Drosophila melanogaster: one gene and its partner. The protein of the gene in region 1 purifies or fractionates together with the protein of each later gene. This does not show direct contact. Each region holds a gene or a part of one and is shown in the gene's direction. Other genes may lie near its edges.

Evidence for each region.
Region 2: the proteins of Cyp28d2 (region 1) and CG6656 purify together in Drosophila melanogaster (affinity purification with mass spectrometry, with the first as the bait; one large-scale study listed by BioGRID). This does not show direct contact.

Annotation. Positions count from the first base shown.
Region 1 is NT_033779.5:5,205,270-5,209,893, forward strand, and holds Cyp28d2 (cytochrome P450 28d2), read left to right. Parts: upstream 1-1,997; 5' UTR 1,998-2,038; coding exon 2,039-2,232; intron 2,233-2,388; coding exon 2,389-2,527; intron 2,528-2,588; coding exon 2,589-2,696; intron 2,697-2,753; coding exon 2,754-3,381; intron 3,382-3,451; coding exon 3,452-3,724; intron 3,725-3,786; coding exon 3,787-3,950; 3' UTR 3,951-4,076; downstream 4,077-4,624. Other genes in the region: Msp300 (Muscle-specific protein 300 kDa), read left to right, coding at 1-78. UniProt on the Drosophila melanogaster protein: May be involved in the metabolism of insect hormones and in the breakdown of synthetic insecticides.
Region 2 is NT_033777.3:21,873,428-21,878,357, forward strand, and holds CG6656 (uncharacterized protein), read left to right. Parts: upstream 1-1,865; 5' UTR 1,866-2,062; coding exon 2,063-2,203; intron 2,204-2,287; coding exon 2,288-2,383; intron 2,384-2,920; coding exon 2,921-3,049; intron 3,050-3,147; coding exon 3,148-3,261; intron 3,262-3,333; coding exon 3,334-3,471; intron 3,472-3,568; coding exon 3,569-3,973; intron 3,974-4,039; coding exon 4,040-4,204; 3' UTR 4,205-4,361; downstream 4,362-4,930. Other genes in the region: CG31431 (uncharacterized protein), read left to right, coding at 1-94; CG31178 (uncharacterized protein), read left to right, coding at 732-1,385; CG34148 (uncharacterized protein), read right to left, coding at 4,520-4,650, 4,806-4,930.

The DNA of each region.
Region 1 (4,624 bases):
ACCTGTATGTTCTCCAACACCTTTGCGCGCAGCCTGGAGCCCATGTTGTCGTATCCCCACGGACCGCCACCCACGTAAAGCTGTCGAGTTGCAATTGGATTAGTGCAATGAAACACGATCAAAAAAAAAGTCAAGAAACCCTATACCCTAAGAAGAACCCCCTATGAAAAACGCCCTATGAAAAAACCCAGTTTAAAGATGCCTTTTGAAAGCTAAATTTCAAGTAAGAAAAATTTAAACAAAAAAATGTTGAATATCGAAATGGAAGAGTTGTACATTTGTGTAGTTTATCACATTTTGTAATTGTATGTAATTTTATAGTCATTCGATAGCTAGAGGCATTAATAAAACAACCAATTTGTATATAACCTACTGAACCGAACAGACTCGACAAGCCGAACATGAAACACGTAAAAGAATTAAACAAAAAAATAAAAAGAAACAGAATGAACTAACTATTCAAACTAACGACAAGTAACCGAAACCCTTTTGTAAAACGATATATACATTATACATATATATTTGCACAGCAAACAATTTATATATTCATATATACCCACGTATATGATCCCAAAAAAACTATAGAGAACCCAAACATTTTGTATATAAAAATATCTAAGCTAAAACGAAATCAAAATACGCACACGAACATTTTACTCATCAACGCACGTTTTCGCATTTAGAGAGATCCTGGGCAGCAGAAAATTGCGATTAGCATCCTGCCAATTTCGTGGAACATTTTCGCAGGATATGATCTCAAGTTCCTGCTGCCAGCGATGGGCTAGAAAGGCAAACGAAATCCCAAGACAAAATCATGACCCACATAGACCAATCGCCTGGAGATCCTCATGGCAACCAATGTTCCTAGTTTCCAGCGCGTCCTTCTCCCAAACTCAGGGCTATGCTGTCAACAGTGGGCATTGACCTCCATTTGGACTCCGGCTTCTAAAGAGACCCCGTGTCAAGAAGGATCACTCTACCCAAGGCCAAGATCTCTCCCACGGCCAAGGGTTAGATGGGATAGCAGCCAGTGCGCCAGCCACAGGTCACTGGGCTCGAAATCAATCCTTAAACTCCATCCCGACACTGGGGCCTAGACATTTCAAGCATTCCTGATACTCATTTCCAAATTACCAATAGACATTGACCATCGAAGCCAGCTCTCAAAGAAAAGAAAATGGAAAACGTGCGTGCCACGAGCATTGAACAAAACGAAGCAAGTGTCCTATGCCGGTGCTAAACCAACCTACAAATTTTCTGTATAAAGAAAAAATGTAAAATGCGTATACAAAAAACAAAAATATTATGAATTCATAAAAGAAGAGATTAATTCTTTGAAAAAAAAAAATCGTAAAAATGCAATATGCATATTGACAAGTGACGTAAGTCCATCCAGTAAAAGATACCTATTTTGTTGTTAATATTTTTTGATAATCCTAATTATATTTGCCTTATACTTATCCAACTTGTTTATTACAACTATTTTCTATTATTTAATGCTTGGCCAATTATTATTGAGAAAATACATACATTTATTTATTAGGCCTATGAACGATTTACTATGTATAAAATTAAGTTTGATTTAAATGTTAAATTTGTGTACTTTGCTGCTTCTATCTGGTTATGAAATAATTAGCCGTTATCGAGTTAATATAATTTATGTAGCATTTTAAGATTTCCTTTCTTGTGAACAACTGTACCTTTATATGCATTATGATTATTAAAAAAAAAAAAAACAAATAAAAAATAAAACACATTGTTTTTTTTATACCTTTGAATTTATGTCTGCAGCTCTATTGACATAACTATATACGTTTTGGTTTTACAGGTTTCATGCTTATCGATATTTTATTACCTATCTTGTTTAATTGACTTTTGATCGAGCGCTACGAGATTAATGCAATCAGACTAAAAAAAAACAAACAAATTTTAAAAGAGGAAATTTATTAAAATACGATTAGATTGCTTCCAGCGCGTGTCTATTTTTTTGGCATAAATATAGGCCCCTGCGTTAATCTGTAGCCCATAAGCTTCCAACATGTGCCCAGTAACTACATTTCTTGTCCTCGTGCTGACCCTGTTGGTTCTGGTCTACGTGTTTCTGACATGGAACTTCAACTATTGGAGAAAACGTGGCATCAAGACGGCTCCCACATGGCCATTTGTTGGAAGTTTTCCCAGCATTTTCACAAGAAAGCGAAATATTGCCTACGATATTGATGATATCTATGAGTATGTATACAATATGAGTGAGAAGGGCAAGCTATAGTTATGTTGTATAATAGTGGAGTCAAAGCGCAGTTTATACTTAATGGGTGTAAAAATCAGAACAGTCTTCTCTAGAGCTAATATAAGTTACTTTTTGATGTGAACTTTTTGTTTTTGCAGAAAGTATAAAGACACGGACAATATGGTGGGCGTTTTTACCACCCGAGTGCCCCAATTGCTGGTCATGTGTCCGGAATATATACACAAGATCTATGCAACCGATTTCCGTAGCTTTCATAACAATGAATGGCGTAATTTTGTAAGTACTCGTAAGTTTAGTAAATAATGGATAATCCATTACTGAATTACAATGTTCATAGGTGAACAAAAAGACGGACATGATATTGGGCAACAATCCGTTCGTGTTAACTGGCGACGAGTGGAAGGAAAGAAGGTCGGAGATCATGCCAGCACTGTCCCCCAATCGAGTAAGGAACCACATTAACCATCTATCCAATCAAAATTCTATCTTTGAATTCCGTAAGGTCAAGGCCGTTTATCCAGTATCGCAGAGCGTATGCAAAAAGTTCGTGGAATATATCAGGCGACAGCAGCAGATGGCCACCTCCGAGGGATTGGACGCCATGGATCTGTCTCTTTGCTACACCACCGAAGTAGTTTCCGACTGCGGACTGGGAGTATCGGCCCAGAGTTTCACGGACACTCCCACGCCGCTGTTGAAAATGATAAAGCGTGTGTTCAATACCTCCTTTGAGTTCATCTTCTACAGCGTTGTTACCAACCTGTGGCAAAAGGTGCGCAAGTTCTACAGCGTACCGTTCTTCAACAAGGAAACGGAAGTGTTCTTCCTGGACATCATCCGGCGATGCATTACTTTGAGACTGGAAAAACCAGAGCAACAGCGCGACGATTTCCTCAACTATATGCTGCAGTTGCAGGAGAAGAAGGGCCTGCACACGGATAACATCCTGATAAATACGATGACCTTCATTCTAGACGGATTCGAGACTACGGCTCTAGTTCTAGCGCATATTATGCTGATGCTGGGACGTAATCCGGAGGAGCAAGATAAGGTCCGCAAGGAAATTGGCAGTGCGGATCTGACCTTTGATCAAATGTCCGAGCTTCCGCATCTGGACGCCTGCATATATGGTGGGAAATTCTATCTTGATCTCTTGATATTCAGTTTCTTTAACTACATTATAAAATTTTATAATTTTAGAAACTTTGCGTTTGTTTTCACCGCAAGTTGCAGCACGTAAGCTGGTCACCGAACCCTTTGAGTTTGCGAACAAGAACGGACGCACTGTGCACTTGAAACCCGGAGATGTGGTTACTATACCGGTAAAAGCTCTGCACCACGATCCGCAGTATTATGAGGATCCTTTGACATTCAAGCCGGAACGTTTCCTTGAGAGCAATGGAGGTGGTATGAAAAGTTACAGAGACAGGGGTGTTTACCTAGCTTTTGGCGATGGACCTCGTCACTGTCCAGGTTGGTGTTATAAAAATTTATCTGAAAATCACATACTACAATAAGTCGATCTCTACATTTAGGAATGCGATTTGCGCTGACTCAACTTAAAGCAGCTCTGGTGGAAATCTTGAGGAACTTTGAAATCAAGGTTAATCCTAAAACCCGCTCGGACAATCAGATAGATGATACTTTCTTCATGGCCACCTTGAAGGGTGGTATTTACCTGGACTTTAAGGACCTTTAAATAATAGCAATAATCATAGTAAGCTTTAAGCTTAAAAAACTGGATAAAGAGAAGTTGTTTGCTCGAAATAACAAAAATTAAAATTAACCTTGATTAATGCATGATAATAAAAAAAAAATAAAATGCAGTAGAGATTTATTACTCAAGAAAGGCAAATGTTGCGGATGATCCACAACAAGGCTCGATCGAACATGGTTCGACAGTGATGTTGCATGCGCAACAAGTTCGATTGCTAGTGCGCAACATGTCGGTTGTAGGTTGGCCATCCGATTTTAAATACTTGCAAGATATAAGATTTAATTGAGATTTTATAATAAAAAGTAATAAGAATTATAGAATTATAGATCAAGGGGTGTATAAAGAATATAAAGAAATCGATTCACCATCATAGGCATCTCAAGGCTCAAGCTCAAGGGCAGTTTTGGTGGAGATCGTAAGAAATTTCGAAATCAATGTAAACGTCAAGACGCGATCGGATAATCGACTGAATGACATCTGCTTGACGTATTTTGAAGAGCGATAGTAAAATGGCTGAAGTGTTGTTGTAAGTGTTGATAAGATAATGCGCCAATTAAAAATGAAATCAGAAATTTGATTAACTACTTAGGTGCTACACACATTGTTTGTCCAGAGTATCTATACCCATTACTCGTTAAATGAAAATGGGTATGTTG
Region 2 (4,930 bases), on another chromosome or scaffold:
ACGTTGCTCTGTGGGACACGGCGATTGCCAGCGAATAGATTCGGACGAGGATCTGGACACGGAAAGGTGTGTCCTCGGGGGAAACAAGCATTAAAACCGAATATTTTTGAAGCTGCACTACGCTTATTAAGATTATGGATAAAGACTGTCTATAGAGTTATGAAAAGTAGACTTACAATCTGAAATAAATATATAATTTTTTATGCGAACTTTAGAGCTAATCGAGTCAACTGTAATGCCTACATCAATAAGGACATTTTTAAAAATCTAGAAAACCTATACTTTTATGCCACTTGGTTGTCTGTGAAGGTAGTGTTCGCATGTAACTAAGGCAAGCTAAGCAAAGTTCAAAATTTTCGTCGAATGAAATTCCAAATTTGTTTCGTCTTCAGTTTCCGGCAGACAAAGTCCTCATTTGGACACCGCCGACATCGCCATCATCGCATCTGATTACAGCAATCCCATACACGCTACAGCAGACTGCCTAATCCCCTAGAGAACTGGTACTCGATATCCACAAAACTGATGATCATCGAACTTTGCCTGGAATTTCACTTGATGTGGGAATTAAATGTTCGCATCTATTTTATGCGAATGAGAGTGGCCATTGTTAATCAACTGGAGCCAATTGGGGACTTCTCCTACTAGAATTATTCATAATATCGAGCAAATTAACTATCCAGGATCAGGGTTAACTAGACGTCCATTTGTTCAGGAGCAAACTGGCCAAAATGTCTGGATCGAGGCGACGCCGTACCGTTATGGGATACTACGAATACATAATGCCCGGGATTTATGAGTATCCTTTGATCCAATGTGATGCGAGTGCAATCCGTTCCTATAGTATTGACTCCATAATGACCAGTGCTTCATCAACTTGGTCAATTCCAGATAGCAATGCCGCCTATGTAGCTGGACCAATGGGCGTTATCCACTATCAATCGGATATGCAAACGCACTTGGCTCTGCCAACTAGGCAAAATCTGGAAACTGGTCTTATATATCCAACCATTGAATCCAACTCATGTTTCCATGAGCCAAATCTAGAATATGTTCAAATGGAGAATGAGCACACCGATGACGACGAGGGATACGGCTATGAAATTCCCGAGATTGTTCTCTGCTTAAACCGTTCAAATTCAGAGTCCGGCGCAGCTGAGGAATCTGGCGATTCGCAGCGTTCGTCAAAGAGTTATTCATCGGTGGAGATTAGCGAGCAGTCAAGATCGGGGGAATACGTTAAATTAGAATCGGTTTTCAGGAGGCGAAGAAAAGTATCGCAGAAGCGCAAATATACCACCGAGCAGGGTTACCTGGTTGAGGAACCCACCAGCGAACCATCTGAGGAGGATGCCGAGGAACAGGCACCAAAATCCAGAAAATAGATATCTCATATTTCAGTTCAGCATCTACGTTTGACTATAGAAAAAAAACGTTACCCTCTTTGATTTTTCGTTGGAATTTGTAGTGATCAAAATATATATATTTTATAAATATTTATTTGGTTAACTTACATGTGTATATGATTAGCGATAGTTGTATGTCGCAAGGTAAGATATAAAGGCAAGACAAATAACTTGAAAAACAATGTTTTTCACATGAGTGCAAATTGATAGACCACCATATTGCACACAGTAGCACCTAGTCGAGACCCAATTTGTACTGCCAATGAGCGACTAATTTAATTATTCGCACATGTTCAAAGACTTTACTCTCGCGCAATGCCAAAATCACATGGAAAACTTGTCTCCCCGGCTCTCCGACTGTCTCTAGCTGGCTCTTTCTGTTTTATATAGCCTTCTCTCTCGCTTCTTAGCGCCCCCTCTCTTTCTGGCTGTGAGGCAACCTTCCATCGACAGTCGCTCAGTTGTTATACGGCTTTTGTTGCCATCGGACGTGACTTGTATTTATTTATTATTTGTTTCGTCGACGGGGGCAGCGAAATCGAAAACACTCGCTATAAAATAAACAAAAAACTATTTTTAGGCTGCAAATCTGAAATATATTTTCTCGATCAACTGCAGCAGGAGCATAGAGACGCCACCGCACCCCCTCCCTAAAAATGGACTGCAAATCGCGACGCGGCACCAAAATATCGGTGATCGCCCTGGGAAGTGCCCTCTGTTTCGTCATGATGGCATACTTTGTGTTCGGCGACAGCAACGACGAGCAGGGTTTGCGGAATCTACGCATGATATCCATAGTAAGCTGCCGCCACTTCTGGCATAAAGTTGTAAACAACGAGATCTGAGCACTGTGTTTATCAATCCAATCCAATGCCCACCAGCTGTTCCGACATGGTGCCAAGAATCCGAGTGGCTTCTATCCGTTGGATCCGCACGCTGCCCACGACTGGCAGGGCGGGATGGGAGCCCTCACGCCGGTTAGTATTCGATATACAATAGTATAGATTAGGATATGGATCCTACCTAAACTTTAAATTCTTTCTCTTAACTCAAAACGTATAAGTGATAACACATCAATTTTCAATAGGGCTGATCAAAACTGACACGCCCATTCTTTTGGAAATTTAAAAAAAAATTGTTTGATTTTCGTACTATTTGATATATTATTGCTTGCACTAGCTGAGAAACTAGACTATAACGCTCTCGTTTATGTTTATTTATTTTCCAATTAACACATTTTATCGTACGAATTTTTACACTTTAAAGAGTATTTATTAAACGGTTATCATGTAAATAAATAATGTCAATAATGTAAAACAGTGTGTTTCATTGCATTTAAAACTCCAATTTGGTTTTAATTTTATGATCCAAAATGATCAATGAAGAATGAATTATAGATGCAAGTTGGTGATATCTAAAACTTTAATGCTAGACACGTAAAACATACATTACTATTTAATATATTTTAATAAAGATATTTATATTCTACAAATTTCTTAAACCCCCTTTGACAGAAAGGCAGCCTGCAGGCGTACAACCTGGGAAGGAATCTGCGCATGCGCTACTACCGTCTGCTGCCTCCGAACAGCCTTTACACCCAGCAGCAGGTGAATGTGCTCAGCTCGGCCGCGGAACGCTGTGTGGTGCGTCAATTGTTTCGATAAGAAATCCTCTATAACTCTATTTGCTATCTGTCCGAGATGGTGGTGCCCTAATCAGTTGGCCGTGTGTTATCTTTTAGATGAGCGCCCAGAGCGTCTTGGCCGGCATGATGCCGCCGCTGGAGAACAAGAATGTGCTACCCATTCCCTGGCAGCCGGTGGCCGTCAATACGCTATCTCGCAATGAAGATATCGTGAGTGCAATTGTATATTTCCATTAGTCAAATGCAAGTCATCATCATAGTACTATGATCTAACTCTATTAGCTGTTGGCCCAAAAGAAACCGTGCTTGAAATATGACCACATTCTGCAGAAGCTTTACAAATCTCCGCCTCCTGAACTCCAGAAACTGAACGAGGACAACATGGAGCTGTACAAATTGCTAACCAAAAACACAGGCAAGGTGGGAGAGAGTTGCACCCATATTGGTTGTTAATTCCTTTATTGCCATACGATATATTTCACTTTTTCACTTCTGATATTATCATATTATCCTTTAGAACATTTCAAATGTACTGGACGTGGAGCTACTCTATGGCACACTCAAAACCGAAGAGGAAGCTAATCTGGTGCTGCCCGATTGGACTGAGAATATATACCCCGAGGAGATTAGGCCACTAGCTGAACGTAGCTATATGCTATTCACCGAAACAAATCTAATGAAGCGGATTAAGGGTGGCGCTTTCCTTACGGATATACTCAACAAAATGCAGAATAAGCGCAAGAGGAATCTCAATCCCGATCGCAAAATATTCCTGTACTCCGGTCATGATGTGACTTTGGTTAACGTGATGAATTCCCTGGGCATACTGGACCAGACTACCAAGCTTCCGGAATATGCATCGGCATTGGCCTTCGAGCTTCATCACAGCAAGTCTTTCAGTGATGGAGACTTTGAAGTGAAGGTTGGTATTGGTAGCGTATTACTATTAACTATGGGATTCTTACCAGTTTGGGTTGTTTGGTTGCAGTTGGTTTACTACTACAACAGCGAAGACAAATTCCCCAAGGAGCTGACCATTCCCAATTGCGATGCACCGTGCTCACTGACCCAGTTTGAGGCCTCTGTAAAGGCCCTGCTTCTAGATAACTATGATGAGACTTGTGAAAATCATCCGACCGATTGCAAAACATAAGATGCCTTCCAGACTTTGTTGAAAGTGTGTGTCGTTCTGGGTTGTTGTTTAAGTGTCTGGCCATTGCTAAGAAATAGTCAGATGTGATTTTGGATAATTTTAAATAATTGGTTTCAATTAATAGCTTTAAAATAAAACTAAGTCAAGTAGACAAACTAAGTAATGCAAGGTGTAGTTATCTCAAAAAGACAAATACATACATATATGGATGAGATATTTCCAGTGTTCTCTTCTAATTACATTAACTGAATATGCATATATTTAGATAAGAAGGCTTTTCTTCACATTTCACATTTTGGAGTTCAGGAAATCAAATCAAAAGCTTGAGCCCTTGTCCTCAGGATATAGAAAGTATATGGGAACTTTTACCGTCTCGCTGACATGAACGATCTCGGTGTGACTAATTAGACGGATGGCAGCCAGTCCATAGAAGAGCATTGGTAAGCCTGTGTAGAATTTAAGGATATAAATGCGGTCTTTTGGGAGTTTGATTAAACTCGAATGAGGACTTTCCCATATGCATTTCGGGATTCATTACAGGGCATACACCTTTTTCGAGTTACCACGGACCTATGTAGCATAATCCGTTTACTGGACTTACCCAAATTAATCACCTTAAGGAAGCGAAAGAACTTGTCCTCCAGCCAAAGATCCTGCACCTCCCTCTTGCTACAGTGGTACTTCATATAGGGATAACAGGCGGTGCGAAGAATGTGATAGTTGGTT